Linked DNA regions of Daphnia pulex. The protein of the gene in region 2 purifies or fractionates together with the protein of the main gene of each other region. This does not show direct contact. Links are inferred from orthologs where the notes say so. Each region holds a gene or a part of one and is shown on either strand. Other genes may lie near its edges. The genes, in order: endonuclease G, mitochondrial-like; dnaJ homolog subfamily A member 2-like; nuclear migration protein nudC-like.

Region 1 (10,020 bases), on a different chromosome or scaffold from region 2:
CTACTGGACCTATTTAAATGGTACAATGTGTAAATGGAATGTGTTTGACAACAGTAAGTATTCTATTGTAATGGAAATTTAGAACTGCTTTTGTAATCAAATTCAATTGCAAAGAGCCAATCGGAAAAACAGATTCATAAAGCGGTTCATTCAGAATTTAAAAAAAACCTTAAACCGAGTTTTCTTTATCAAATCTACTGGCTAGTTTTTGAGAAAAATCGTCAAATAAAAAGCAAATCAGCTTCATCAGAAACAGGTTCATCTAGGTAAATTTGTTCGTTCAGAATTTAAAAAAACTTTTTTAAATTCGTGTGAAACCGTGTTATCTTTATCATATTTACTGGTTTGTTTTCTAGCTAAATTTAAAATGAAACAGCCTCCACCCATTGAGGATATCAGGTAAACTGATGGATGATTTTGATGAAGGATTGTTTTTGTAAAATCTTTATCTTTCAGAAAAAAATACGAGTCAGATCTACAATGGAATCTGAGGAGGGCATTCATTGAAAGAAATGAAGAGAAAATGGAGAGACGCAAGCTTCTGAAGTTGTCCGGTAACCTTATGAACATGGAATTTGTTGGAAAGTAAGTAGCCTATTCTATTGTAATGGAAATTTAGGACTTCGTTTGTAATAATGATTAATTTCTAAGGTTTCGATACCCCATCAAAGTTTACCATGAACTCAATAATTTGGCAGGAAATCTATGGGAAGAATTCAGACGGGAGAAGAAACTTGCCAGGATAAGGGATTGCATCTCAGAGGGGAACCTTTTTTAGCTAATGGGAGGCTATGGTAAAGTTTTTATTTATAGTCAAATTAATAGTCAATTAACTGCATAAAATAAAAATGACAAATTTTAGGGAGACTGAAATTCTACTGGACGGAAAACTGATTGCGTTTGCCGACCATAGATCTCGGAATTTGTCCATAAAACTCGCTTTCGAGTCCTCATTCTGGCAACTCCAACAATCCCAATTGTGGTCAATGACGAATCCTACGAGCATGTCGAGGATTTCGTTTTTGTATGAATCCATGAACCACGTTGCTTTTTGCTACCCATCCCTCTATGCTAACTTCGCATTCCAAGACTCGCCTATGTAATATTACTAATTCTATCTTATCTTAGAATGTTAAATATGTCTTGATTTCATTTTCTTATGCATTCGTTACATTGGATTCGAGGAAATGGGGTTTGGGAATAACAGAAATTATTTCAATCTTCCATTTGATTTTTCACTTCAGGCTCAGAATTTTTTGAAAAACTTCGTTTCTGAACAGTCTTTAGAAATCCTTGATTTTTCGACAGAATTGTCTCGTCGTCAAAGAGATATCGTTGGCGAGTAAATACAAAATATTTTCTGTAAATATTTGTTTTAAAATTAATTTCACTTTCTGGTTACAGGCTCGCTTATGCACTCAATCTAGATGTCTGCAAAGTTCATTATGGTAGAGAGGATCGGGTGCAAGTCAAAGTGATGCATTGCCTCCTTCATTTGGCAATGGATATTTTCTGGTTGATGTACCAAGTGGTAGAAGAAGAAGATGACCATCCAATCTTTAGAAAAGCATTCTTGTGCAACCGCAACCTCATGTAGGATATTGGGCAAATGCGCAGTACCTTTTCTCTCTGTGTACAATCTGGTAATGCTGATATCTGATCAAATGAGTCTTCAGATACAAATAATGGCCAGACCTATTGCCATGCCGGTCCGACAGGCGGACAGGGCAATAGAGGGCTTTTGCCTTGTCAGTATTAATAACCCCATCTAGTGACGGCTATTGCATTTTACTTTGCGTAGGGGAGACTGGAGTAACGCGGGGCAGTTTTTGTTTCTTTCCCTTATTTCCCAATTTAATCACCCTATTTATTTATTTTTTTTTACATTTTATGTATTTCACATGTAAAGGTACCGGGTTTGGGAACGATACTTCTAAAAAAGTATGTTCGTTAACGATAGCGATTCTTCGTTTTTTTTCATGTTCGTTAGTCGAACGATAAAGTGAAAAAAATTCATCGGCAAAAGAATACTCTATAGAATTTCGATACTAAAAGAAAAAAATTTAGGGAAAATTTTAACTTAAAAAAAACATTATTTTTCTCGACAATTGAGACAAACAACGAGAGAATTTCCTGCCTTTTCTGTAGGCCTATGAAAATCGAAATACTTAGAATGAATAAAAATATCACTATATGGGACATTCGAAAAAAAGTTTTGCTTAAAATTCACTGATATTCGGTGAAATTACAGCTATACAAAATTCGTCTCTTTTTTCTACTTTTGCTTTCTTAAAAGTATCGGTATCGTTCATCGAACGATACTCATTTCGATAATCGAACGATACCCATTTTGAAAAGTATTGCGCCATATACTAGAAACAAATTAAACAAGTATTTTTGATGACGTTTTCATCGTACATCGAATAGATAGTCTCAACCCTGAAGGTAACCCCCATATTTTTTTATTTAATTTTAAAGTAAACTGTTTACCCGTAGGAGACGGATAAAGTTGGGGAGGAGCCTATTTTGAGAGGTAAGTGAGGACACTAGGGTGGGTAGGACATTTGCTGTATAAGCCTTAAAATTTTTTAATTTGTTTTAATTGAAATCGTTTTTCCCTACATCAATTCTACTGTCATCCGTGAAAGTTTCTTGAACAGGCAAATGGCTCTCTATGTTTTAAGTTTAATTTGACGGAAGGGATACTACGGTGCCTTAGTACCGTACCCCCGGTATTTTACTCCCTTTTCTCTTTTTCTCTATGTTCTTCTCTTCCTTTACCTACGAAAGAAAAAAATAAAAAGGCGCAAAATCCAAAAAAAAACGACCCCCATCCCAACCGACCCCCCGCAAAAAAAGAGCCACTTCCCACCCACCACCCTAAAAGAAAACCAACCCCCTTCCCACCCACCCCCTCAGTTCAGTGCAAACAAGTAATCTTGTTTTTGCTCTTGATGTTCATAAGATAAAAACATTTTTGGTGGCTCTTAGTATAAAAATCGAATAGGAGAGAGTGGGGTTATTTGAACCGGCTTTGGTTTTCTCGTATAGGGCCTTTCCTAATATTATATTGTATTCGTCTCACTTTTTTCTATCTCCAGTTTTTTTATTTTATTTTAGAGTAAATAGTTTACCCGCTACCAATTTTTAAAGTTGCGGAAATAAAAGAGGGCGAGGAAAAAATCGGGGTTTGTATGGGACAGGGCGAAACAATCTAAATTTAGCACTAAAATATTGTAATCAATTAACTTTAAAATTTCATGCTATTATATTTGCCACCTAGTATTTGTTTTTCGCTATGTTTTTAGGTTATTGCTAAATTAAGAAATAATTTTTTTTTATATTTTTTTCTCAGCGTTGCCACTGAGCTAAGCTCCGCCCATTACAGACTTCTTTTAGTTCCAATTTAGAATTTACCCCACATTTTCGCCCCAAATATCCCCCCAAAAACGCTTTTGGGAAAACTTGAATTATACAACACATTTTTAACAAGCGATTTTCCACTCCATTTAAGCTTAATGTGATTCTTTATCCTAAAATACCGAATTCATCTAGAATTTCTAGATTAGGCAATTTTTTATATGTTTAATTTTTTGAAAATTGCGCCAAAACACAAATCAAATGTGTTTGTAATTACTTATTTTTGTTTATTCTATTTTAAAATATTAAAAATGAATTTTAGAATTTTAAAGATGAATTTTTAAATTTATTAAAATTTAATCAACCACTTGTGACCGAAAATATCGATTCAAAACGATCGATTTCGATTACAAACAAGTAAACAACTTACAATTAAATCAATCCAATCATTTTGAACAAACCTGCATTCAATATCAACAGACATTAACGTGGCTTCGAAAACACATTTACTACACAACCACATATTACGAATGAAAAAGGCCTTCGGGAACCTCTCCAAGAAGCCTCGGCGCATTGGTAGCAGTTGAATCTGAAAGCAATCCCGCCGTCAAGAAATGTGAACGTCACTAGGTGACTAAAAAATATGTCCAATAGGTAGCGCGAGCGTAATCGTGAGAAACGGAATTCCGCCATTTTTTGCTGAGAACATGAAGTACCATGGCCTACTGAACCCTAGGCCGGTGGTCGAGCTATACCCCTGTAGTGTAGCTTTTTCAACCCATCCCCTTCCTTTCAACCTTCCTGGGAAGTGGCGCACCTAGCGCTCAAATTAGCTTATTAGCTTTTCAAATTCCATTCTTCCCATTGCCATACACCTACTACTTCATAACTTTATCGAAGATTGGAGGAGCCTTGGCTGATCAGCCGATGAAGTGGATTGACTCTTTTGGCTTAGAAATGTTGGACGAATTTAAGGTTTTTCTCAATTTGCTTTTTAATATCTGTTCTGTTATTAACTAAAGATGTTCTGATACGTATTGGTGGCCCCTTGCCCCCGGAATTCGGGGGCCAATAGGGACAACCAAAAAAAATTTGGTCGGATGGCAACGGCTGCATTGGAGCGATAGTAAGGATAAGAGTTGTTATTTTTCAAAGTGATCTTAGCAAATTTAATGGAGAGAAGACAAAAACTTGAAATTATTTGGATAAATCAAAGAGGCATCTTGGACTCTTCCTCCAACACTTCATACATTATCCAGAACAAATCCATGAGTTTAGGGGAGCACTTCATTTGCGTAACGTGTACACGAGTGTCTGGCCCCTGGCCGATTTTAGTGGCATCCAGGTTGAGTGAACGAGCCTTCTTTATCTATGCTTCTACCATGGATTTAGTCAAAAATCGCAATGTGGCAACTCCCTTGATGTTTGAAAGCCCTCTCTGGCGGCTAATGCTATATTTCTCCAATTGCTTTTAGTCTACATTGTCTATTGTGCGTTGTGGTGTGCATTTAAAAATTAAGTTGTTCTTTTTTACTATTGTCGGAACCTAAACACAGTATTTATAATGTTTCGAATGAAGTTTGTTACCGTAACAAGTGTTGCCATAGGAGGATATTTGGCTGGGCTCGCAACCGAGAAATTCTATCGATCCCCAAGTGTAGATTTAGAACGTACTGAAAACTCAACATCCAATCATAATAATAACCTCTTGCCTATGCCGGGCTTACCAATATTTGGTACAGTATCCGCTGCTTCAATGGTACCTTCCAAAGCTAGTTTTAAAGAAGTGAAAAATATTCCTCCTGAACCTTCTAATAATGCCCCTAGAGTTTCTCAGGTATTAAACAAAGTCATGGGATACAACAAAATTTAAAGTAAAATTCCGACAATTATTAGATAATGAGATTTGGATTCCCTGGACTAGACAATGTACGGTCCCTGGATGATTACGTATTGTCATATGATAGAAGAAATAGAACTGCTCATTGGGTGTTTGAACATTTGACAGCTGATTTTGTTGCTTACAATGAGAAAGTTGATCGATCAAAATGTGATTTTGCTGAAGATGAATCCATTCATCCTTACTTCAGATCATCAAATGCTGACTACAAAGCTAGTGGCTTTGACAGAGGTCACTTAGCAGCAGCTGGAAATCATCGTAAGGATCAACTGCATTGCCAGCAGACCTTTCTGTTATCCAACATGTCACCACAAGTTGGAAAAGGATTCAATCGAGATTCATGGAATAGATTGGAGAGACATGTTAGAAATCTCACTAAAACAAACAGAAATGTATATGTGTGCACAGGTAATTAACATTGCTCAAACATTTCTTTATGGAATCAATCTGATGACAAATTTGTTTTTAGGACCACTCTACCTGCCCAGGTAGATGATTATTACATGAATGCTTACTCAAACAAATGGAAATAATAATTATCATTGTATATTTTCTTAACTTAGGAAGGAAGATGATGGCAAAATGTATGTAAAATATCAGGTAATTGGCAAGAATCATGTTGCAGTGCCTACCCATTTCTTCAAAGTCGTAGTCATAGAAAATCAGAAACAAGAGCTTTCTTTGGAATCCTATGTTATGCCAAATCAACCTATAGATGACAAAACTCCACTGTCTGTATTTCAAGTACCTCCAGAAACAGTAGAAAGAGCTGCTGGACTTTTATTTTTTGACAAACTGTCAATTGACAAGTTAAAAACTATAAATGGCAAAAGCCAAGTTTGGTTGTAATTTACAGTGCATACATGATAGTACTACAACCCATTATTTGAGAGCTTTGTGAAAAATAGTACAATCATGTAAAACAATTAAATTTTTCATTTCAAATATTCTTTTTCTTTTATATTTCATGAAAAAGAATACAAGAATTGACAATCATATCAATCAAAATTTTGACTCCACTTGATTTCTTAGAAAAGTAAGCATGGTACAATTAATTAATGAATGGAAATCAGTCCAGATTCAATCAGCTTCTGGATTTTAGTAGCAATCGCAGGATTTTTTAGATGGCTAAATTGAATAAACAATTTGTTAATATTTGCATCACTCTTAACATACATACGCTACTTACTCTTGCAGAGCACGAGGTTCATTCTGCATTTGTTCTAAAATCATACGCATGGCAGGGTCACGCAATATAGCTTGGACTTCTGGATCTGCCATTGCTCTTTTGCGCACTTCCTCAGGATTTGAGTTAGTTTGCATCATGCATGCGCGGTAGCCATCAAGCGCTTCCTAATATAAAAACACAAGAAAAAGTGAGTTGATTTTTCTTTAACCAACCAAAATAAATAAAACTACCGAGGCGTTTGGATCAAGCTCCATAGCTTTCTGAAAAGCGGTAGAAGCCTTACTATATTGCTGCATTCCCTGGAGAATCTTTCCTTTCCTAATCCATCCCTTAACTAAAAAGACATTAAAAAATATCAGACTGCGCTATAGACCAAAACATTTTCTTACCAAATGATGGTTCAAGCTCTAAACAGACATCACAATCTTTCAAACCTAAATCAAAAGCTGCCAGCTTTGTATAGCAGGCAGCACGATTACTGTAAACTTTAGCGTCGCCAGGGTTACGCTTTATCGCCTCCGAGTAACATTTTAATGCATCAGCGTATTGACCTATGTAAGGAAGTTCAAGAGAACAAATAATAAATTAACTGAGTTTACTTTCTCCTTCCGGAAAAGAGATTTACCTTTACGAAAAAATTCATTTCCTTTCTCCTTTTCTTGCTCTGCAATTTCCGGATTGATGTATGCCTTGCGTTGTTCCTCACGAAGCAAACTTTCCACTTCAGATAGCAATGTTTTTGTCTCTGGCGAGCGGAACTCTGAGAGTGATTTTTCGAAATGTAATTTTGCATTTGCCAAGTCCTTAAAGAGAGTGTTTTAAATAGACGTACAGTAATAGTTTGAATAATGTCAAATACCTTTAGCTTTTTATACGAGTTGCCAATTCGCGTATAAGCTTTGGCAATTAGCTTGAAGTCGGCCCTATTTTCTCTGCCAATGTCAATTGCTTGTTTACAAAGTTCCACACATTTTTCGTAATCCTTTTGTTCAAAATAAACAGCAGCCAAATTCGTGACATAAGTCATGTCAGTTGGATCTAGCTCTACAGCCTTGTTGTAGTGTTCTATTGCAGCAGCAAAATTTTTCTTCTTATAAGCTGCATTTCCCTTTTCTTTTTCATCAAGAGCCTATTAAATATAATTGTTGTTATCATAACTGAGAAAATCACACATGTTAGGCATACCTTTTTCTTCTCTTCTGGTAGAGCATCATATTTGGCTTTTTCCTCCCTCTTTCTCTCTTCTTCCTCCCTTTTTTTCTTCTCTTCTTTCGGATCAAGTGGTGGTGAAGGTTCTGTGGTATCCATTGGTTCATCTCCTGAGAAACATCTCCTTTTCAGTTACTATTGTCCACTACTTTGTTTTCACATAATACCTTCATTTGAAGCCTCCAAATCCACTCCTAGCAAGACACTGAGGGTGGCCAAAACTCTTGGATCACCCAATTTGGTGGCCATCGCACCTGGATTATTTTGAAGGTCTTGGATCAACTGTCGATAAGTTGGATCTTCAAACATTGCTTTTGTTTTTGGATTGTTCTGTAGTTTGTTCATGACATCTGGTCCAGCAAACGGATTCATGAGTTTTGCTCCTTGTGATCCAACCTTGTTCTTCACTTCAAGAAGACCTTCTTTAAGTTGTTCATTGTTTGGGTCATACTTGAGTCCTTCCTCATAGGCTTTTTGAGCTTCAACATCACGGCCAAGATAAGCCAATGCAGCACCTTTTCGTGAATGACCCTTACCCCAATCAGGCTTTAATGAAACAGTCTTCTCAGCATCCTGTAAAGCTTCCAGGTACTTTCCAGCTTTCGCATATGCAGCTGACCGATTGCTGTACAGAACATGATTTTCTGGGTCTATAGCCAATGCTTCTGAGTAAAGGGCTACAGCTTCATCTAATTTACCAGCCGACAAGGCCGCATTTCCTTGATCTTTCAATTGAGTTGCCTAAATTTATAGAACAAATGTAATGATCAAAAACCCTAGTTCTTTCAGTTTTATAGTACAATACTAATTTCCATACCTTGTTTGCCATGATAAAACAAGACAATCGCGATCAGAAGGTACGGATGAAACGTTGATGTAAATTCACACGCCTGCACACTGTCAATGAAACGTTTCCAAGTGGGGAATGATTTCGATACTGAGAGCGAGGGACACGAGAAACTTCGCGAAAAGGCTTACACACGATACAGACGACGGAAGGTTCTGGATTTCTGTCCGCCGAAATTCAAAGCTTACTAGAACTACGGCCAGAGCAGCAGAGCTTACAATAATAGTAGCGGTAGATTATGGAACCATTAATAGCCACTTTGTGCAATTAAAAATACATATCAGTGAAGCGTGGATAATTTAATGTATACATTTATTTTCCGTTTGAAACTAATGTGAAAGGCAATTATTTATTTCTTGCTTGAGACATTTATTCTTCTGCCTTCTAAAATGAGCAACTAAAGCCGCCATGAAAACAGACGTCATCTAGCGGCTAATGCTCTCCCTTCATTATTTTTTACGAATTTTTCAGCAAACGAAGAAATGCATTTTTTGAAATTTGAAATGAAACATCCTGTTGAAGAAAAAATTTGAAGCGTAGCTGTATGTTCGTTTATTATTTTTCTGTCTGCGCCTCCTCGGAGCTATTGCTTTAAGTCATCGATTTTTAGTTAATTTTAAAAACAAATACGATAATAATACAAATGCTTTTTTATTGCTTGGAGAAAAAAGGATAAATGCGGATAAATGCCATTTCTAATAAAAGAAGAAAATTTTAAAATAAAAACATTTGAATTTTTTATTAAATACTTTGTGCCAAACTTTTATTTTTTCACTGGTTCACTTTTTAGACTAGTAACATTGACATACCAACAATTTGTCTATCACTGGAAAGATGCGTAACGTTCATGAAGAACGAAATCATAAATACCGAGTGCGCTAGTTTTTCTAGCCAAATCAATTACTTCTACGTCCGGCATTATAGGCGGCCATGGAAATGAACACAACACCCAGGACAAAATAATAGCCTCCGTACACTTTAAACTACAAAATTTATTAATTAGATTCTTAAATTTCCAAGAAAAATTTTCTAATAATACCTGGTCCGGAGGTTCGAGCGCCAATCCAGCACTATCTGCTACAATCAAAGTTAGAATAGTTTGGAAAAACAGGGCGAGAAATGTGTTGATTCCAAACACCAGACCATAGCTTTCCTGTTTCAATCCTTTTGCTACTTCCGAACTATATTAAAAAAGCAACTGAATATTAGAATCCGAAAAGATCTCATACAATGAAATGCATACCTTGCAATTGTAATAAGAACACTATACGTTATGCAAAAGGCCATGTAAGTAACGTACGCTACCCACAGTTCATTAGAACTGCCAGCTAAGTATAACATGGCACCTTCAAATAATGATATCACAGCTATTACAGGTTCACCATACACTGACCAATTGACGGGCGCATAGCCAATAGCTATGGTAGCGAGAGCACCTATTAAAAAAAGCATGATTATAATTTCAATTTATGAATCATACACATTTCTTTATATCTTTTACTGAGGAACGTATGC
Region 2 (10,660 bases):
CTTTTAACATATTGCTTTGCTTAGCAACGGTTGTCATCATATTCGAGGATTTCACATTGAGTGCGCCATGAGATGTAATGGCTAGATGTAAAAGTATCCGGGCTCTGAAATAAAAGCTTAAAGCTTAATGCGGTCCGGGACCACTTTCATCGCTATCATTTTTAAATGCTACAGTTCATATTATCTGCATTTGAAAAAAAGAAAATTAATTTAATTGAACTTTACCTTTTATCTCTCATATCTTTTAATGAACAAAATAATTACGTGACAAATCAGATCAACCGTACAAACTTGAATGATTTTTCTCGGAAACCTTTCCACTGGTTGAGTGCAAAGTGATTGTTAGAGGTATATCTTAATACAGGATCGCAGCGGGAGTTTATATGAAATCAAGGCTTGAAGCGGGTCGCCATTGCGCCTTGTTTTGTATTGAGTGACAGTTTAATTAGCGTCTAGTTGAACGACGCTGTGCCTTTTGACAAAAATAAAAAACAACTTTTCTGTTCCTTCCCACTCATCATCGTGCCTGGGATATACATGGTAATGGCACTGATGGATTCGCAAACGAGTCAGGCCAGGCTCTCTTTTCCGTCATCAAGCATCGATTGCTTCATGGAATATATTAACAACAGGGTGGCGTATACACATATAAGAAAAAAAAAGGGTAGGCGCGTCATCTCAATGCGCTGGAACTTCCTTTCTAAATGGCGTGATTTATAGGGCCACCACCCGCGTCATCAACAGAAGACCTTCATATGTCACGCTCCCCTTGATTTTTTTTCTCCCTCTTTCCGCCAGCAGCACCTTTGCTTTGAGTCGGCATCAATACCACCCCAAAGTTATAGTCAACAAAGCGATTGGGAACTAACGATCCAGCAGCAAACCAAAGAACAGCAGCCCAGCAGCAGCGCTTCCGATCAGACAAAAGGGAAACAGACGTAATAAGAAGGCCGTCCCAATTACACGTCAATCACGTTGTTGTTTCGGTATAATATATACGCCGAAGAGGAAACCAATCAAGGCTATATAGATGATGAGAGACTTCCACGGGTGTCTATATATCGTCGCTGTTTGATGATGGTCGGTGCAACGGACACTAAGTAGCTACACATGGCTGCTGGAATCACATTATCCACATATTATATCTTTGTTATTTCATATGGGGGGAAATTATTGTTTGTTGTACCCCGAGCGACTGCTGCTGCTGGTGATGAAGCGCAGCTGTTATTGGTTGTTGTCCCTATATCTCACCTCCAGGAGAGTTTTTCGTTTGATGTTGCGTGACTTTATTGAAATGAAAATCGGCTTCAAAGGTGCTCTACCATCAAATCTCGCTCGCACCCCTTTTTTTTCTTTCTCCGTCTATTGCAGATATGTGCAGTATATGCCATACGGGAGGGATAGATGTTAAAGCAATAAGGGGATGCTAGAGCGCGTATATCCTAGACAGACGGGGAAAAAATACACAAGGGCTTTTAGGAGCAATCGACGAATCGATCGCTGACATTTGATATCATGGCTGAAAGTTATTTACCATCGTGAGCTTCCAATGGGCCTTGGTTGCTTCTGACGATGGATGAATGAACATAGCTTATGAATTCGAATTGCTTAGATGTTATTTTAATATGCATATGGGGATGGCTCATCTTACACCCAGATGCGAGTTATATACATATGCAATAAAACGATCGACTCAATCGAAATCGGCGCATTTTTTCTTTACTAACTTTTATGTCTTTTCTATGATTCTCTTTTTTCTGTTTGCAGGTTAATCAAATATTGTCAAGAACATCAGAAAACAGATGTACTCGTCACGGGCATTTCCCCTTCCGAAAATCCCTTCAAGGAGAACAAGACGTGCAACTTGCTTTAACGTTAGCTATATTATTCAGTTATGTTATGTTACATGTTTATGTCCTCAAATGAAATTGTGTTGTCGGTGAATTATCAAACCAAACTAAAAACATCTTTCGTTTCTTTTCTTCCATTTTCCACTTTTTGAGTTCACATTGATGTAAATGGTTGAATGTTGTTTGACCGCTCTGTATCCATTGTCGTTCGAATCGCTGCATCATCTGCCTCTAATCCTTTGAAAATCTTTTACAAAATCCTTTCGTTGTCAAAGTAGCGCAAGCTGAACACACATTTCACGATGAAGAAAAATTGCCATAAAAGCGACTGCCTTTTCTTCGCTGATGCTCCGCCTAGATTACACGTCACGGTGAACAATGCAGAAAAGCCAAGCGAAGACAGAATAAATGCTTCAATGAGCTTCCCAGTTCGGCTGAACTGAACGTCTGAATTGTCAGCCATCAACATCATTTATTGTTCAAACTCGACATGCCGATTTCCTCAAGTCGCAACTAGCGTGATCCCGTTTTTCTGTGTAATCCCTATCCGGAAGCCTTTGCACTCAGATGCTATTCTAGTTTCGACATCCAAACGGAGAACGCACACACTCACATCCCAATCGTCAATTTTGATTAAGTCACTCGAAATGACAGCCAAAATAAAATAAGCTCTGCTTAAGTCTTGCCACAATGTTTCCATTATTGTCATTGAGTTATCAAGATTTGGTGATTGACTAAATGTAGGGATTCGGTAATGATCTGCAGTCAACAAAACCTGTGATAACGCATCGTTTTCTTCTACAAATTGGAACAGTGACATCATTAGCAATGGCGAAGCAGCACAACGGATCCTAATTACAGTATGAGTAATGATGAGTAAACATGACAAGACAGGGAAGGGCTACAGAAAAAGAACCAAGCTTGAAAGCTTGAAGTGACATCGTTTATTTCGTGTTTACCAAAGGATGTCAAGTCGAGATAGGGGGGCCAAGATTCCCAGAGTACAAATTCAAACGAAAAACAGTAATCTTGATTGTTCTTTCACTATATGCCATGAAAGGCAACGATTCACCTAACCAGCGTGACGGTGAACAGTCGACCCCCCACTTCTTAATTTTGCTACACTGGACGAACAAATGTTTTCAGAACGACAAGCAATTTTTTTTTTTTTTTAAAGTCGAGGAAAATGTTTTTCAACTTAAGATAATTCAAGATTTGAAATTTGGTTATAAAGGAAAGGGAATCGCCGAATACGAAAAACAAGATCGACTTGTTTTCGCTTGTGAATCTACTGATGGGCGCACTGTACACCTGGTCCTGATGGACCTCCCTCTTCATCGTCAGAATCATATGCGTTGCTGGGTCCGCCAGCTCCGTCACGGCGTTCATTGGCGTCGTAATCGTGAAGGTCAACCTCCTCGACGTGCTCTCCTGAGGGTGGAATGACTGAGGGTCGTCCGGGTAAAAGTTTCTCGATCGCCTATCGAATTTCACAAATAACAAAATTGAACATTTTGTTATTTCATTAACTAATCCACTCCCAACTGGTTTTCAAGAATTAATGTACCATAATTGTTGATTCATCAGCAAAATGGCTAGAGGGGAACTCTACGTCAAATTTAATAAACAGCTCTCCTTTTTCGAAAGGACTACGGTAACGAGGCATTCCTTCGCCGGGCACCATCTTAGTGCTGCCGGGTTCGACTACGTTTCCTGGTGCTTGTCGGATCACCAAATCACGGCCGTCGAGATGCTATTGGCACCAAAATATAAAACGGTAGAATAAAAAAATCTGTCGAAAAGAAATCTTACAACAACTAACCTTCAACACATAGCAGAACCCACACAATGCTTCAGTCAGAGTTATAGTGTGCATCACGCAAAGATCGTCTCCTTGTCGCTTGAACTTTTCATGGGGTTTCTGTTGCAAAATTATCACTACGTCGCCAGCTTCAACTCCGGGCTATTGGAATATCACAGTTATAAGACACTGCAGATCAATGAATGTTTGTAGTGCAAAATACCTGTTGATCACCTTCACCGCGAAACAGAATTTTCTGTGAATCTTTCATGCCTTTGTCGACGTGAACTTCCAAAATTTTGGTTTCGTTCTGTACTTTCTTGCCTTTACAAGCCTTGCAGCGATCTCTCTCGTTGATCATCTCACCTGTAAGATTAATTCAACATTAGACAAGGAAAATTAAAATTTCCAATGGTTGTTTACCTTCTCCATTACAGGTTGAACATACTGACTGAATCTGTTGCATCATACCAGGTCCAAGTGGTCTCAGGGAAATTTTTATTCCACGACCTTGGCAGGTTGCACAAGTAACATTGGCTCCAGGTTTGCCACCTTGCCTGTAACAGAAAAAAAAATTTGTAAAATACTGGCCAAATCAAATGACATAAAAATACACATACCCACTGCAAAGAGCACAAATGACATTCTTGCTCAACTGGAGCTTGGATGTCTTTCCATTGTAGAGGTCTTCCAATGTCACTCTAAACATACAAAGACATGTTAAAACCTAGAAACTAAAGCTGCACACAGCACAAAGAGCCTTACTTGAGAGGGTGCACAGTATCTTCTCCTCTTTGACGAGTCTTTCGACGACCACCACCTCCCATACCTCCAAACAACCCACCACCAAAGAAATGGGACAGGATATCATCGGCGCCAAAACCACCATGTTCATGTACACCTTCTTGCAATCCTTTCAGTCCATGTCTGTCATAAACTTCTCTCTTCTTTGGATCAGACAAGACTTCATAGGCAAATGATATCTCCTTAAACTTCTCACCAGCCTCAGGGTTCTTGTCAGGGTGGAACTCTTTGGCTAGTTTTCTGTAGGCCTAAAACAGATAGAGAACATGTTAGCAGAAATCAGTTGTCATTACAAAACTGCTAGATAAGTAGCCATTGTTCCTAGACATGCCACGACATGACCCTGAAAAATCGATAGTTTGTTCTTGGAATTTAGAGTCGTATTTCGGATTTTAGAATATTTTTGCTTCACAAAATTAACACCGAACACATAACTACCTTTTTGAGTTCAGCATCGGTGGCTTTGGTTGGGACACCAAGGATTTCGTAAAGAGCATTGTCAGCCATCGCAGATTTTTTGACCAGCAAGATTGCAGAACTTCTAGTAAAATGGTAGGTCTAATTTGTCCCAAAGGCCGCACCACTCTCCTTCTGAGGGCAGTGAGGACAGCAAGTTGGTTCTTTTTGAGGCAACCATCATTAAGGAAACCAGCTAGAGTCACCCAGCGGCGACTTGTCCAATTTTAAGACGGAGGGAATTATTTGTTGGGAGATGAATTTTGTTCCTTTTATTATAATTGAAAACTAAAATTTTAGTGTCAAATTTTGTTGTACTATTTCATGAAAAAAGAATTAACGATGGGAAAACATCACCATCTTCGTTAATTGAGTTCTATTTGATTGATGAGTTCTTTTCCCTACCGCTATGTGGGCATAGATGGTTACTGAAAGATGATTGGCTCTTGTCCAAAGAAAGAATCGGCCTTGTACATCAAGTTATCGGTGAAAGCATCATTGCCATGTTTTTCTTTCTCATCCCGAGCTGCGCAATGGCCTCATTCTTTCGGATGGGAGAATGAATTTTCTGTTTTCGGTGGCAGAATACGAGAGAACACTCAACTCGGTACTCATTGAGGCTAGGTGGTTCTGCAACTTATTAATTACTAGCTCATATAAACATGGTTAAAATATCGACCACATGCCTAGAATGCCTGCCGAACCCACAAATTCCTGCTTTGCGCTCATAAAAAATTTTAATTCGGAGCCATTATTAGACTTCGAGGAAAGCCACGGCCCATGGCTTATCTCTTTTTTATTCAAGGTTATATCATATTTTGTTGCAGTTTGTATTCATCTGAGAAAAAATTTATGTCTCTGATCACTAACAATGGGGCGAAAGTCGAAGTTAATAGGTATAAAGTAAATTTTATATGCTGCACTGATTATAAGAGTGAGCTGTAATTTTAGAATTTACTAATTTGCTCGTGATAAGGGATGAGCATGTCAATGTCATACATAGAGGTTTTTCCTGTTATCTTCCAGACTCGAAAAACAAACAAAATTCGAAAATACGTTGTGCCAAGTTGGTGTTACGAATGTGCTTGATATTTAAATAAAGTTGATCCAATCGTAACAACCTCTAGTTATCGCATTGTTGTATTGGATTTCATAATCAGTTTTATACAGGTAACTGAAAAAATATTTGAAAAATGTTCATAGCCAATGCAATGCTCCTCGAATAATTTATCAAAGCAAATTAAACTTAGACTAGCCGAACCAAATTCCGTATGAACGGAGAAAAATAATTTGTTTTTGGCTCGGCGGTAGCGGCAGGGGAATAGTTGATAGTGCACATTCCTAGACGTTTTTGTCTAGGTCTCTGCCGAACAGCGTTCTTCCCATTTCCATTTGGCTTTAATAGTGCAGAGTATCTTCGTAAAATTGCTGTCAACCTACACTTAAGAACATGCCAATGAAAATTATTCGTTATGAATTCCGTCTTACTTCTTTATTTTTTTAAAATTCTATTTTGTCGTGTGAAGAAGAAATGCATCCATCTCCGCTGAATTAAGGAAATAATTACGGTGTAAAGCGCCAAAGATTAGAACTGATAGAGAGAACAAAGAGCTTTAATTTTCAAAGCACGAGCCATTTGGTACGAGGATTTCAGTTCATGTTTGGCGACTGGTACATTATTATTAGGAAAATATTCTGCGTTTTTCCCAGTTTATTACTGAGAACAACGACATCTGCTGTTCCGTAGGAGGAGGGCACTATTGGCTTCGAAATTGTCGAGTCTAACATTGAAGGAGGAATTCCTAGCTGGAATGCACCTTTAGCTTCGCTCGAATTGGTGTTTCGGCATAACTTGGAATTTTTGGACATTTAGAAGTGATTTTCACTCCTAAAAAGTGTTGGAAATAGTTCAACGATATCATCTTGTTGAGACACCGTGGTCAATTTCTGGGTTTTCCTGCAAATTCATGGTAATGCGAACTTAAAAACCGTTGGGGAAAATGTTGTGTTATGATAATGGGTCGCATTCCAATGACGTCACAAATAAAATGGCGCTGCTATCTACAAAATGAAACTCTCGACGTCCTGACTCAAGCTCAGAATTCTGCATCTAACATTCGACATTTCAGTGCAAAAACAGCGTCGAATATACCGTGAATGTGTTAGTGAATGATTTTTCTTCTGTTCTTTGTTGTACTTTTGTTGGAAATATTGCCATCGACATGTCCAAGCGTAATGGTGAGATCCCTTTGCCTCAAGGATGGGAGCTTGGTCGAGATTACGATGGCAAAGTGTACTTTATTGATCACAACAGCAAGAAAACAACTTGGGTTGATCCTCGAGACAGGTTTGTTAACATTTCAGATACTATTAATTTGAATTATTCTCTTTGGGCCCATCCTTCAAATGATGCTGAGACCTGTTGTCGATTGTGGAATGCTAACATGGCTGTCAAGTCCACACACAATAATTCCAATGAACTTTTGGATTATTTTTCTTCTATTTTGAAGTTGAGCCATAGCTTTTGGGAAATGCATGAAAAAAAATGAGAAATGTCCCCAAAACAAATGTTGAACTGAACTGCTATATCCTTGTTTTGGCTGCGCATACTTCCTATACGTCCATATTGTAAATTAAACATTCCAAGTATCTGTTGATTTAAAATTCAACTGAATCCTAATAGAAAAAATAGTGTTTTAAAATTAGTGTTAGATTCCAAAGAAATATGCAATTAAAATAATAGTTAATTATTTATAAAGTCTAGTGTTAATCAAGTATTGGATTTTTTTTGGTATTTATTTAGGTTAATAAAGCCGCAAACATTTGCAGACTGTGTTGGAAATGAATTACCTTTAGGTTGGGAAGAATCATATGACTCTCAGGTTGGACCTTTTTACACAAACCACATAACCCGTAAGTAAAAAAAAAAAGAAAAAAGAGTCAAGAGTTACATGACCTAGCAAACAAACAATTGTTTAAATTGCCTATTCAGAGACCAATCAGTTAGAAGACCCTCGGCTAGAATGGAGGTCTATACAAGAAGCCATGCTGAAAGAATATCTTCAAACTGCCAAAGAAGACCTTGAAGCCAAGAAAGAGATCTTGGATATTAAACAACAAAGATTAACTATTGCACAAGATGAGTTTCATCTACTTCGCCATGCCTACACAGGGCTTGATGCTTCGCGAACATCATGTAAGTGAAATTCTTCTTCGATAATGTAACGTCACAGGCGCTGGGATATTTCTTAGTTAGAACATCTCATTGCCACCCCACCCCCATCCTCTTTGTCTAACAAATATAATAAATATCCGGAATAATTTTTTTTTACAGTGAATTCCACAAGCAGTGGGTCAAGCACTAAATTTGATCCGGATTTGTTAAAAGCCGATGTGGCTTTAGCTAAAAATAGAGTTGCCCGGTTACGCCGGGATTTAGATGTTGCCAGAGCTGAATTCGCCTATCAGCAACGGGGTATCGACATGCTTTCACAGTAAGTTAGCTCTTTAAAGGAAGAATATCTTAATTGTCATAGAACCTATCTTAATCTTTTCATTTTCTTTACTTGACAGAGCTGAGACTAAATTGTCTTCTTTGCCTTGTGGTTACACATTGCAAGAAGCACAAGCCATGATGGCTGAATTGCGCAACATTCAACACTCGCTATCAAGCGGCGAGAAAGAAAAAGCAGAATTAATGGCTTCGTTGTCACGGTTGCGCGACGATTTAACCCGACTGAAGCCGCTGAACAACGACATGTCTCCAGATTTATCAACGTTATCCCTTCCACAAGAGAAATTTAGCACAGCCTCCCAAACAGATTTATCAGGTAGGATTAATTTAGGGGAGAAAAAAAAACAATAATGGAAATCATCAGTTTTACGCTAAATTTGTCATTTTTTCAGGCGAATCAGCTCCAATCGGAACACGCTTGGCTGAAATGGCCCGAACTCGTCTTCAGTACGACGAAGCAAGAAAACATTTGCAATACTTGCAACAGAAAATGGCAGAACTCGAGGATAGAATCGCTCCTGGTCAGAGTGAATCTGATAAAGACCGACTTCTGCTCATTCAGGAGAAAGAACAACTGCTGCGGGAACTGCGCAGCATCGCACCAAGGTCGCGCTCCAAAACCGAGATGGAAACGGTTCGAACCAAGATTCAACGGCTTGAGAAAGATCTTAGCCAAGCGTTAGAAGCTTCTAATCGAACTATAGCCGATCGACTTAAACTCCACGAAGAAAAACAAATTTTGTTGCAATCAATGAGATTAGCTTTGCGCAACGTAGCACTTTTAGAAGGGCAGCTCCGTTCACTATCTGCCAGCACATTAAGCATGTCAAGTAGTTCGAGTTTAGGATCTCTTTCGACTTCATCTAGGAGCCATGCATCGTCCAAGGTACTTATCTCATGAATTGATTTTGAATCTCATATAATTTATGGGTTTCTTTTTTGTTTCAAGGGCTCTTTATCATCTGTGTTATCGTTTACTGATATCTATGGACCACCACAATACTCTGCCATGGCTAATGCGGCCTTGCCTGGTCATGCCAATACACCTGGAGAAAGCGGATTATCTGGCTCACCAGTTGTAAACATGGCCGACTTACACCGTCGCGTAGAACGACTCCTTGCCAATCGAGAAAATAATAATATTAATTCCAACTCAGTTTCCATGCAAACGTCCGAACAAGAAGCTATCTATGCTAACTTGGTTGCACCACCTAATTTGCTTAGTTGCATCAATTTTGATCAAGCAGGCAAGTTTCCGAGATTCAACGTTGTTGGTTTTTACTTCTAATCGGTTTTTTTTTAACATTAAAGGAAGCACAGTCAGTTACGAACCCAATTCGTCTGATTTGCTGTTCAACGGTCCAGCTTTTAAACACCGATTACCTTCGGAACGGTCGAACGAATCAGGTGTTTTGAGTGGACTGTCGCCAATTCCGGAAGCTCAAGGACTTGTGAATATGACGTCTGGCAGTGAAGGTACTGACTGTGGTACAGTTTCAGCTTCGGCTAGTTGCGAGTCGGTGACGGGAGATAGTGGAGTTTTTGATGCATCGTCCAGACGAACTTCATCTTCGAATCTCTCTCATTTAGAAACCGCTCAAGTGAAAGTTGGCCTAAGGTAAGCTTAATCCAATAAATCTGTTAAATTTATTATTAATTTTTTTTCCCTTTTTAAATGTAGATATGCATTTGCTGATGAATTTCTCCATGTAACAATTGAAAGAGCTCGAAATTTAGTGGCTCTCCTGATTGAGAACGGCCACAAAGTGTAAGTTATTGTTCATTTATTAACGTAAATTGTCTTGCAATAACGATTTTATTTTCTTCGTTTAGTTGTATCAAAGTTACACTGCTCCCTAGCCCAGTAGAAGCAGCATCATCTTGTTGCACTAGGTCAATTACAGATCTGTCACAAGCTGTGTTTGACGAGAGCTTTCGTTTAGCTGTTGCTTCAACGAAACTCGACACCAAAACGCTACAGATTTCCGTATACTCACGACCAGCGACTTCGGATTCTCATGAAGATTGCTTGGTTAGTAAATAGTTATTTTAGCTGTAATTTAGATCAGAAACTTATATCTTGTTTTGTAGGGATGGGCCCAAGTATCACTGGCGGATTTTCGGCCCGACGCTAACTCTGTCAAGTGGTATAACATACTCGCGCTCAGGTGTCTTTCTTCGAGCAGCCATCCTCTGTCTGGTTCAGCTAGTGAAAATGGAACAGGGCTTAAAGAA
Region 3 (10,869 bases), on a different chromosome or scaffold from region 2:
AGATGTGAGTGGCCCAGCAACAGCATCAGAGTCTTTGCTATTCGAATATTTCAGTATATATACATTTGGGTAATAACAGACAGATTGTTTGAATAATAGAGAAGGCTTTCACGCGGCTCCCGAACGCGGCTTTACACTCTCAGGGCCATCACATCTGTATAGAATTCTGGGAGCTCCCACCAAATTTTCCTTGGAAAATTTACGACAATCGGCCGATATTTCTATTCTTATTCTCTGTCTATTCAGATGAGATTCGTATGCTCACGATAGAATTGTGAAGAACCTGCCGATCGCACGATAAAGCTGCCGCCGTGACGGGTCAATGAACTTTGTTGGTTGCTCAACCACTCGGCGACTCGACGAATAGATTTGAAATCAATAAGGAGTACTATACAGGTTATAAGAAATAAATGATTATTTCTAGAGAATAGAGAATCGAACTCATTGTCATTCCCGTCACAGTTGAATCGTTCCGAGATTTGGCTGGCGAGTTTCCAATCAATTCGTGAAAGAAACCGTTCACGTCGCCCGTTCGTCGTCGAGATATGTCGCAACACGGTTGTGCACTCGCCGGTGCAATGCACTTAATATAAAATAAGAAAAATCGACCAGATGTGATTCTCTCACAGTCTGGGATGATGTTGGAAAAGAGATATACATGCGGATGGTACGAAACGAATTATTACGAAGGTTCTATACTTCTTGTTGAAGAAGAGCTATAACACTAATGTGTCGAAAAAGGGAAGAAGATTGCGCCACTCTGCTAGAATTTCAAAATGATACCCTGAAAAGTAAAGAAGACGAAAGGGAAAAAGATTACCGAACATTGCGCAATAAAATTTGAGGGAAAAAATGTAATGAAAGTAACAAACAAATTTTATCAAATTAAAACAAAACAGGTATAAACAAAAGCTTATAGTTCCACCAATTGCCACAGGATCGCTTCTGGTGGCGGAAGCTGTTTTTACCTGTAGGGAAGACCCGACGTAGTGGGAATAATTTTACGAGTTGCACGGCTTCATAGGTAAGTAAAAAAATAAATATAGTGACTAATACATTTGCAGTACAGTGGAAATAAACGATAGAGGAAAACAGATTTACTGCGTGAGGTTGCGTGGTAAATTCTTCGTTGGAATGTTAAAAGATTTATAATCGTTATTTGAGTTCCTTCTGTGTGCGTATATTCCGAAAGGATAAATAGTTGGTTTGAGAAACAACAGTTCGACTATAATAGCTTGTTTAAGAGTAGGAAGAGGTACGAGTCAATTCAGGTTCGTGACTGTGCAAGCAATATCGTATTTATATATGGTTTGGTAAGTGTGACTCCCACCACGGAAGAACCTATGGGTCGAATCTTTTCCAAGCTAAATAACTGAGTTATAGTATTGCACTATCGCAAATGATTACACTGCTGTTCAAATCACGCCATAGAAACTATAATTCTCATTTAATTTCATTTAATTTTGAATTTTCCCGGTGAAAAATCGATTAACAAAAATAATCGATGTGTAGCAGACGACGTCAAGTTGACGTTTTTCTTTTCGGCGTCTCGAGTTTGTTTTTCAAAGATGTTTACTTTTTGGATGATTGCTGTATTTATTTTGATTGGATCACTGTTACCAAGTATTGTGAAATGGGTGAGTACAATTTCTCGTCTCTGTGATACTCGATTCTTAATTCAATATTCAGTTAGAGTAAAATAGTTTGGAAGTTAGAAAACTTGCTGCTAGAAATCAATATTCGAGTTCAATATTGGAAATATGTCCTTAAACCTTAAAGCTTTAACCCTATCATTGTTTAATGTATATTTCTATTCTGATAAAAATATCTGAATAAATTAATCTTGGTGTGTGAAAGTTTAGACACTTCACAATACCGTCAGAATGTTGAATTAAAATTGAGGTCTCAAAGTGTGCTCTAATCAAGATAAAAGTGGTTGTTGTGCAAAAAGTAGTGTGACTGATGACACTTGACTCGACTGTTGATTACACGAGATTTTCTTTCTTTTTTTATAGGGAACACACTTTGTATTCAAGGTTAGTGATGAGGAAAAGAAGATTCGTGAAGAATTCAGAGGACTCAGGAAAGAGCTGACTGGCATCTCAGCCGTGGACGAATTCGCACGTTACGCCCGAATCCAGCGGAAAATGAACAAACTAGACGAACAGATTCAATCCCTTGGACAATCGAGGATGGACGGCAGGGAGTCTGTCCGATGGAAACTAACCAAAGCCATCCAAGTTGTCAATGTAATGTGATATGTTTTTTTTTCTTTCAACTCAAATGTCATTGAACTTTGGTTACTCAACCCCTCCTGAATTCTTCCTTTTACCATATCTGACAGGGTGCCGTCCTAGTCTACCTGGCTGTCACTCAACGCTACGAACCAGTTCTGACTGGACTCCCCGACTGGTTCTGGCCTTTGAATCTCTTGCTCAGCTACCCAACCGGGATCGAAGGAGCCCTCAGCATTGTATTCTGGTTATTTATATGCAACAACGCCTGTCGGGCACTCATCAAATAAAAACATACACACGTGGTGAACAAACAAAAAAAAAAAATTGGTTTCGAATTGTATTCTTGGAAGAAATAAGAAGGAAAGTTAATTAGCAATTCTTTGTTGTGTAGAAATGGAAATTTGTTTTTTTAAGAACTCGTAAAACAATTCTTGATATCGCTCAGGAAAACTTGCACTTGCTGAAATCCATTTCGGGGTGTTGTTCCATGAACCTGTGATGAAAATAATTTGGTTTAGAATATAACACAACTATTATTATTATTATGATTATTATTAAAAGACCCACTTTTTCATCATATCTTGTTTCTTTTGTTCTTCGGATGTCGGCAGCCCCATTTCCTTCTGACGCTGGTCGTACATCATCTTCTCGACTAACCCCCGCGTCTCTCCGTCCAGGTCGGACAGCTTCGACGGTTCGGGATTGATCTTTTTGGTGTTGATCTCCGGATCGGACAAGACCAGCCGGCTCCACCACTCCATCTTGTTCACCTTCTCCAGCGTGATGAGCAACGTGAGCTTGTCTTCAATCAGCCACGTTGATTCCTCAATCTTGACGTCGTGCAAGAGTCGATCGTCGACGACGGCCGGCAGTTGATTCTTGATGCCGGCCTTGAGATGATTCTTCTGGATGTCGACCGTCAAGTCGCGGGAACGAAGTCCGGCCTTGGGCAACGGGATCCGCACCTGTACAACAACAACAAAATCAAAAAACAAAAAAAGGTTGAATCATTTTTTTGGTTTAACTTAATCAACTTTTCAATGACCCCCCTTAGGCGCTGCAGACAGTTTTAGAAGATTATACTGTATAGGGTGTTGTACCTGTTGGGAGGGACTGGTGTGGCGAAGGGGGAATATAAGAGAAGTAAAAAGCAAGAGTGGAAGAAGAAGGAGGAGGAGCAGAGCAAAGAAGAGAGGGGGGTTTGGTCCGTTTGGAAGGAGAGGTCGTGGATCAGTTATGCCGAGAGAGTCCACCTTTCCAGTCGCCTTTTTTCCGCCAAAGTCAGATATAACACACGGCCAACACAACCAGGAAATTCAAGTGAAAAATGACGTTCAACGGGAATTGGAGTCAAACAAGGAAATTCTTCCCGCAAATCCCCCAAGTTCACCAGTACCACTACCAGGAGCAGGTCAGTCTCAGTTGAATTTTTAACAATTCCCACCTTTTCAAATCAAATCAGGTACGTTGATTCTCAATTAGATTTCCAAGAGAAATGCGATATGGTTGAAATTGACGGAATGTCAAGGTCGGAGAAGATTGCCGGGGTTAACGTTCTGGTTATAGCTACTAAATACCCAACGACTAAGCTTACTCTCTGTTGCCTGCGTTGTCAACACACATGTCATGTAGTCCCGTGATGCCATTATACAAAGGTGGGAAATGGAAGAGGTAAACGACCTCACCCTTGACCTTGACTCTGTCCGCGATAAAGAAAACCAGTTCCTCTTAGCTGCTGCTGCTGGTGTAGTAAGTATAGACGGAAAACCCTCTGCCTACGTTGTTTAACCACCGAATTCAGACCCGTTATCTTCTGCCCTTTTCGGAGGGGAAAGAGAATAGTGTAGTAGTATTTTTCCAAAAACCAAGGCAGGAGTGGGAAGGTTGTTGGGAACGAAACCAACGAAAGTAAAAACATGTGGGAAACACACAAACAAGACAGAAAAAAAGTTCAGTTACTTTTGGGAACCTTTTAGAGTTTTATTTTGCGCACTTTTGACCTTCTGCAAATGTCCTCTGAGAAAGGGACAGATGGCCGTCATCACGACGTCCAACAATCAAACAAAATGAGGAATTTTGTCCGACTGGTGTATAATAAAGAAAGGTACCGGGTGTAGGCGAGGGGAATTTCCGCGCAACACAAAAGAAAAAAAAAAAGTTCTTTTCTTTTTTCTTTTCGTGAGATCCGGAATTCCACAGACCAGTTGCTATCCTGTTTGGCGCGTCAAAGATAAAACCAGTCGGCTGGTACGGAGACGCACACCCTACACACACAGCTAGGAGGATTGTAGAGAGCTAGGTAGTACATAGACTCGCCCCGAGGGGCCCACATAAATACAAAATGCTTTACAATAGATTTAGAAACAAAAAATCTCTTCTTCCTATGCGCTTATTTCTGGTTTTTTCCCTTCATACGGTTAATTCTGTGTTTGCGATACAACAAAACAACAACCTTGAACCTTCTGGCTGTATCTATCATTGTGGGGGATCAACGAAACGACGGCGCCTGTCCTTCGTCTTCATTTCAGGGCGAAAAAAAGAAAGAAATTCCTGGTAACTTATTTTTTTCCTGACATTGAAACTACAGGGGACGCTTCACATCCCACGGCCTGTTCTCACCGTCATCCAGGTGCCCGAGGAAGAGAGTAGCGTGCACAACAGCATGAGCCTGCCACCCACACCGCCTTCGTCAACGTCCAGCAGCAACGAGCTGACCATGTCCGTTACGGGGAGTTTCGGTTACGACCGGTGCGACACCCCGACGAGATTCACCTTACTGGGAGAGTCGGGCGTTATCGTCCGCACTCACAGAACGACACCCACCACTTGTCAATTGTCTATGACATTTTGCACTTTGGCACTCTTGGCCTTGGTAGGAATGATTGTCTACATGGAAGGTAAAGTGTTAATAACCCTTAGTGGTCAGAGTTTCTAAAATAATTTTTCCCCTTCTCGTTATAGTTTACATGAATGGCAGCCAAGTTTAGGACTTACCTCAATGTCTGAGAGGGTTTGAGTCCATCGGTAGTTTGGCAAATCACATCCATTGCCGGCATTGGGTTTGAGCTTGCCAGCATCCTGTGGATCTTCCTCTTCGTCCTTTTTGCTGGTGCTGTCGACTTCCTTGGAGGCTACTTTGGCTACTTCGTTAGACGATTCCTCTTGCTTCTTCTTTTGCTGCTCCACCATCTCGGCAGCTTCTTCATCCGTCAGTTCTTTGATTTTCGGTTCGGCAGCTTCTTTCTTTTGCTGCTCCTCCAGTTGTTGTTTCAACTCCTTTTCCCGGCGTTCCTTGATCTTCCTTTCACGCTCCTCGATCTCGGCCTTTTTCTTGGCTGTTTCCTGGTCGGCTTTGATCTTGTATTTGTTGAACTTTTCCATCAGCAACTGGAGCAACAAGGAAAGAGGTTAGTTCATCGTACAAAGAAAACAAAAACACACAAGCTTTTCGCAAGAGACCAAATCACACTATGTCACAATATAATCATTCTATTAATATTTATTCGCTCCATGTTTTCTCCCTCTACTCATAAACTTGTGTGACATGTTTTTCTTGAATTCTGTCAGTTTTCTCATGATTTGTTCCTCACGAAAAATATATTTTGGCCTAGTGCTACGTGAAATGTTGGTCGTTGTTACCTTTTCAGCTGCTTGAATTCCTGCACCAGTGTAAAAATCTGTTTTCCGACACAGGAAGCTGAAGAATGTGTCCAACAACTGCAAGTGTCATAAAAATAAAATGTAATATTTAATCAAAACAAACTAGGCATCGACAAAATTGCAAACTTACATCCTGAACACCGCCTTCATGTTGAGTTGCAATGGACAGCAAAATGCCATCAAACGCTTCTGATTTATCAGCCATTATTTTATTCGAATTAAAAAGTAGTTTCACGTGTTAAAAATTCCAGAATCTTCTGGCCAAATTCGGACAATAACGATTTCGAACAGCCGACGACGTAAGCAAAGTAAGCAAACACGCTGCCTAGAAACCAACAATGTTGCCGATGTAAAAATAAATAACATGATTAATAACGTTCTTATCGTGTAATTTACTTCAAATTTTTAATTTTAAATTATTAAAGGCAATTAAAAATGTATTCATATTGAGTAACATGTTAATAAATTATTTTGCTTAAAATTACACAGTGTTGTCGTTTGACCAAAACATGGCCGTAATGGTAGGAGATATTGGCGATCCTGAAATAAACACTGACGTGAGTTTTATGGGAATTTGAGAAGACCCGTTCCCCAACTCTGAACGGTCTCTCTTGAGGAATTTAAGCCTTTTATACGTTTTATCCCCCAAGCTAAATTGTTCGCCACCAATTAACTAATTGCGTTGAAATTGGTTATGGTTCAATAAGTCGATGAACCCTTGTAAGTTTTACGTTCGTCTACTATTGTTTATTCCCACCTACGCTTCGAACGTTAACGATGCTAGACATTAGTATCCTCGCAGGTACTTTGTCCTTTAAAACAATTGTTTCCATGTGTAGAAACATGCTCATTATCATTTGTTTGTTCAGATTGAATGGATCTCGGCCAATGATGGACCACACTGAGCTTACACAATTTGCTCTCAAACAACTTTTCTACCAGGTGAAACAAGGTTTCCCCGAAGTACCTGACGCAGTTGTCAATGACTGCATCAGAAAGGTAACATTGGGAAGTGTAATATTTTTCACCCGAGTTAACCCATGTGGTTTCGTGCAGGCTGGTTACAACAGACGAGCTGCAGAGGCCCTGCTGCAGAAAGAAGCCCCCAAGTATGGACGGTTTCCCCTCGTCAAGAAAATGCCTCAGGGTCCCCCCAAAAGCCTGTCGGCAGGGAATTCACCACTTGATGGTGGACACAAACCCCTCGTTGACTGCCTGACACCAACCAAAGTTCCTCCGCCACTGCCAGTCACTCCCCCAGTGGGTGCAGCTGCCTCTACCGGTCCTAGTCCACCGATCTACACGTCCCCACTCTACCGACCCGATATCGACTTGTCTCTGCCGCCTCCAGACCTCACTGGCGGACGAGGGGCCTCGTCCCAAGTCCAGGTCTTTTGCGATCAGCCGAGATCGTCCACGTCAGTCAACGTTATCCTGCAACCTGACACTGTTCCTTACGTCACCTACTCGTCGGCCTCGACGGACCACCACCGAGGGTTGCACTCTCAACTGAAAATCACAATCAGTCCTCAAGGTATTGATCCATTTCCTCTCTGATCACCAAAATTCAAATTGATTGTATTCTATATTTTCAACCCCCCCACTTTCTTGCCCCATTTGATTGACTCGACAAAACAACAGGAGGAACAGTTTCGGCCGTCCAGCGGTCAAACATACTCTCCCCATGGCACTACGGTGTGGGACCGACCCCGAATTCCGGCAGCATAAACTGTCTGCAGAGCCAACAGCAGCCTTCGATGTCTTCGGTTAGTCTACCGGACCAGGCGGAGCACATCAGGGAGCAATGCGAACGGCGGGAGTCTTTGCGTCGATCCCTGGCCGAGGATCGCCAACGGCTGACCTCGCTGAGCCAGAAAGTCGAACGCCTTCAAGAAGAATTGACCAAAGAGAAACAGCTCCTGGACACCAATAATCTACCCCGAAGAGAACCGATCCAGCAACCGCAGCAGCTACCACCTGCTGTCCGGTTCCCTCATTTCCCGCATCCAATCCAGCGCCAACAAGCCGTAAAAAATGAATTTTATCGATTTAAAATGAATCCTTTCTGATTTTCTTTGATTCCAAATGATTTCCAGGTTGTTGATTTGGAACATCTCAAAGGCGAAGTCCGCAATTTGGAACAGGAGTGCCAGCGGATGTGCCAAGAGCTGTTCACTCGACAGAGCGACAACAACATCCGGAATCCGCCTTCGACTCCGTCGACTCCTCACTCGGCCGGCACTCCAACTTTCCACAACGGGACTCCGCCTCCTCTGGTTGCCACCGTGACGGAGGAGGACGACGAGTCGGACGGCTGGAACTGCAGCCGTTGCACCTTCCAGAACCACCCGGCGCTGAGCAAGTGCGAGGAGTGCGATTCGCCTCGGCCGCCACCCGGCCAGCCGGGCCACTCGTCTTCTCCTTCGTCGTCGTCGCCCATCGTGACCTCTTCGACCCAACAAGGTGACCTACTGCCCGTCCAGGGCGATACTCATAATTCTACTTGTAGTCATATTGGTGATGATAATAATGTGGTGGGTTGCTTACTCGAATGGACGCAGCTGGAGCTGGCCAGGTTGTTGTTGTTGTGCTTTTATTGGCTTTGTCTGACCTTTTGCTTATTCTACCAATTTCTTGTCCTCTTTTTCCGGGTGTGGTGGTTGTGGCTTTCTCTATTCCCAGCAGGGGTGATGGCCGTCCGCAGCTTTATACCGTACAGTCGCAGGCCGGGAAACATTCACATCCACGTCCGTCACCGTCCGCGTAAATACCAAACCTCACCTCATTTTGGCTTGATTGGAAAAAATTCGTTTTTCAAACATTTTTTCCCGCCTTTTCGTTAGAAATTTTTTGAAATTGCCGCTTCTTTTTTTTTAAATTTTTATTTAAAAAAAGCTTAGAAAAATCACACACACACGCTATAGACTCGACTAACCGTAACCGTCAACTTCTTTCTGTTCCAGGAACGATCCAAGGGTGGGGTGTCTAAAACAAAACAAACAAAACACAAACAACGAAAATGTCAACTTTGGATTTTTTCTCATATCCGCCTGTTTTCGCTTCTTTCATGGATTTTATTTTTATTTTCTTTTTAATTTTTTTTTTTCTGGAAAAATTCCATCAGCCGCCATGTCGTCGGACGGTCTGGCCGCCCAATCACCAGTGAAATAATGCCCGAAAGGAAACGGTGATTTAAAAAAAAAACATGGGTGTGTGTTTTTTCTTTTTTTTTTTTTTAAATAATTTCGTTTTCAATCTCCTTCTTGTCTCCTAGAAAAGCAGCTCGTTCGAATATCATTTCTATTCAATGAATGAACATTATATATATAGCAAAATAATTATTTTCATTCATTTTTCACAGTCCTCTTGCGTCTGTCGCTCCCTATAGCCCGAATTTCGCCGTGTGTACATAAATTATAATGATATACTTATTATTGGTTCATTTTTCATATACAATCATCATCCGTCGAATCATTTTGCGTTCAACTCTCCGTTAGCTTTTTTGTTTTTTAAAAATTAAAATTGTTTAGAAATTTTTATGAATCCGGAACACAGTGTGTATTATAATAATTAACGATTAGTGAAAATCGAACGACATGTTAACATGAGGGGTTGGGGGTTGGGCGATAAGGTGGAGAAAAAAACGGGAGGCGGGGTTGCAATTCTCAAAAACACGCAATGGAACATTTTGGGAGGAAGAAAAAAAAGTAATTTTTAGAAACTTTTAAATAATAATAATAATTAAGAACGCCAGAAATGGTGTGCGGGAGAGAGAGAATGCGCTTGTTTGTTTGTTTTTTTTAAATAACCAATCACCGACAAATTTTGTTTTTTCGTCTCTTTTCACGCTGTGGGCGCGCGAACTTTCGACTGGGGATTTTTTGTTTTTTTAGTTTTTCTTTAAAAATCCCGTCCCAAAAAAAAGAAAATTTTTTCGCTGATTTTGTGTTCGTGAGCGTGAAACATGAAAAAAAACCGATCAAAAAGTTTAAATTCGATTTTCAAAAAATAACTTTAAGAGGGAGAACGAATTGCTGAAAATTTTTTTTAAAATTAAATCAATCATCAATGGAAAATCATCATCGAGACACTTGGATCAAAAAAATATTTTGGAGATTTTTATAAAAGGGCGTGGCTGGATGGCGTATTGTGGGTGTGGTCTCCAAAATATTTTTTCGAATTTTTTGATCGGATCAAAAAATGAAATTTGTTTTTTTTTCTTTGATCAAAGGCACTTTTTGTTTTATCGAGGGGGTGGGGGTTGATTAAAAGGGGGCGTGGCTTTTTTTTAAATTTTGTGTTAAAATTTTAAAATTTGATGATCCGGCGACCGAGGGATCTCAAACCGAATTTGGACTTTGTGCGGCTGTTGACTCGCGACTCGAAACGGGCCGAGGCTGGTTTCGGCTCGTCGGCGGAATCGGCGGATGTGACAACAACGGCGGAGGACTCTGATTGTTGTTGGCGCTTCTCTTCGGCGGCGGCGGCCAGCGCTTCCGGCGAGGCGTCGCTGACCAGGATGTACTCGACTTTGCAGTCGGTGCCCTTCTTGGTCTCATCGGCTGCTGCTACGACGGGTTCAGCAACCTTCTCCTGTTCGGCGGCGTCGACGGGTTCGGCAACTTTCTCGTCCTCAGCAGCAACGACGGGTTCGGCAACCTTCTCCTGCTCAGCAACAACGGGTTCAGCAACTTTCTCCTGTTCGACGACGGCGGGTTCAGCAACTTTCTCCTCCTCTGTGGCGACGACGGGTTCAGCAACCTTCTCCTGTTCTACGACGACGGGTTCGGCAACCTTCTCCTGCTCTACGACAGCGGGTTCAGCAACCTTATCCTCTTCGGTGGCGACGACGGGTTCGGCAACTTTCTCTTCTTCAGCAGCAACGGCGGGTTCAGCAACTTTCTCCTGCTCGACGACGGCGGGTTCGGCAACCTTTTCCTGTTCCTGTTCGGCAACAACGGCCGACTGTTCG

Evidence for each region.
Region 1: the proteins of dnaJ homolog subfamily A member 2-like (region 2) and endonuclease G, mitochondrial-like purify together in Homo sapiens (affinity purification with mass spectrometry; 3 studies listed by BioGRID and IntAct, with this or other methods). This does not show direct contact. The link is inferred for Daphnia pulex from reciprocal best matches to the Homo sapiens genes DNAJA2 and ENDOG.
Region 3: the proteins of dnaJ homolog subfamily A member 2-like (region 2) and nuclear migration protein nudC-like purify together in Homo sapiens (affinity purification with mass spectrometry; 4 studies listed by BioGRID and IntAct, with this or other methods). This does not show direct contact. The link is inferred for Daphnia pulex from reciprocal best matches to the Homo sapiens genes DNAJA2 and NUDC.

The regions. Positions count from the first base shown.
Region 1 is NC_060024.1:9,161,471-9,171,490, reverse strand, and holds endonuclease G, mitochondrial-like, read left to right. Parts: upstream 1-4,772; 5' UTR 4,773-4,924; coding exon 4,925-5,197; intron 5,198-5,256; coding exon 5,257-5,668; intron 5,669-5,729; coding exon 5,730-5,748; intron 5,749-5,823; coding exon 5,824-6,109; 3' UTR 6,110-6,258; downstream 6,259-10,020. Other genes in the region: stress-induced-phosphoprotein 1-like, read right to left, coding at 6,316-6,388, 6,450-6,613, 6,680-6,783, 6,839-7,000, 7,075-7,252, 7,309-7,578, 7,635-7,768, 7,826-8,399 and 1 more; thiamine transporter 1-like, read right to left, coding at 9,402-9,488, 9,545-9,686, 9,749-9,941, 10,007-10,020. UniProt on the Homo sapiens protein: Endonuclease that preferentially catalyzes the cleavage of double-stranded 5-hydroxymethylcytosine (5hmC)-modified DNA.
Region 2 is NC_060020.1:3,555,532-3,566,191, forward strand, and holds dnaJ homolog subfamily A member 2-like, read right to left. Parts: upstream 5,062-10,660; 5' UTR 4,963-5,061; coding exon 4,894-4,962; intron 4,704-4,893; coding exon 4,417-4,703; intron 4,353-4,416; coding exon 4,272-4,352; intron 4,209-4,271; coding exon 4,075-4,208; intron 4,018-4,074; coding exon 3,875-4,017; intron 3,814-3,874; coding exon 3,673-3,813; intron 3,604-3,672; coding exon 3,418-3,603; intron 3,331-3,417; coding exon 3,139-3,330; 3' UTR 2,780-3,138; downstream 1-2,779. Other genes in the region: protein kibra-like, read left to right, coding at 7,134-7,258, 7,715-7,824, 7,904-8,107, 8,246-8,405, 8,485-8,741, 8,818-9,311, 9,375-9,672, 9,737-10,043 and 3 more. UniProt on the Homo sapiens protein: Co-chaperone of Hsc70. Stimulates ATP hydrolysis and the folding of unfolded proteins mediated by HSPA1A/B (in vitro).
Region 3 is NC_060028.1:842,101-852,969, forward strand, and holds nuclear migration protein nudC-like, read right to left. Parts: upstream 6,239-10,869; 5' UTR 6,103-6,238; coding exon 6,028-6,102; intron 5,955-6,027; coding exon 5,877-5,954; intron 5,861-5,876; exon of another isoform or gene 5,625-5,860; coding exon 5,232-5,624; exon of another isoform or gene 5,225-5,231; coding exon of another isoform or gene 5,199-5,224; intron 5,135-5,198; coding exon of another isoform or gene 4,825-5,134; intron 3,649-4,824; coding exon of another isoform or gene 3,565-3,648; exon of another isoform or gene 3,411-3,564; intron 3,203-3,410; coding exon 2,805-3,202; intron 2,778-2,804; exon of another isoform or gene 2,731-2,777; coding exon 2,679-2,730; 3' UTR 2,562-2,678; downstream 1-2,561. Other genes in the region: guided entry of tail-anchored proteins factor 1-like, read left to right, coding at 1,569-1,637, 2,016-2,249, 2,345-2,524; uncharacterized protein LOC124208453, read left to right, coding at 3,565-3,648, 4,825-5,134, 5,199-5,224; TGF-beta-activated kinase 1 and MAP3K7-binding protein 2-like, read left to right, coding at 6,786-6,896, 6,954-7,431, 7,539-7,924, 7,994-8,360, 8,459-8,660, 8,861-9,068; calphotin-like, read right to left, coding at 10,206-10,869. UniProt on the Homo sapiens protein: Plays a role in neurogenesis and neuronal migration. Necessary for correct formation of mitotic spindles and chromosome separation during mitosis. Necessary for cytokinesis and cell proliferation.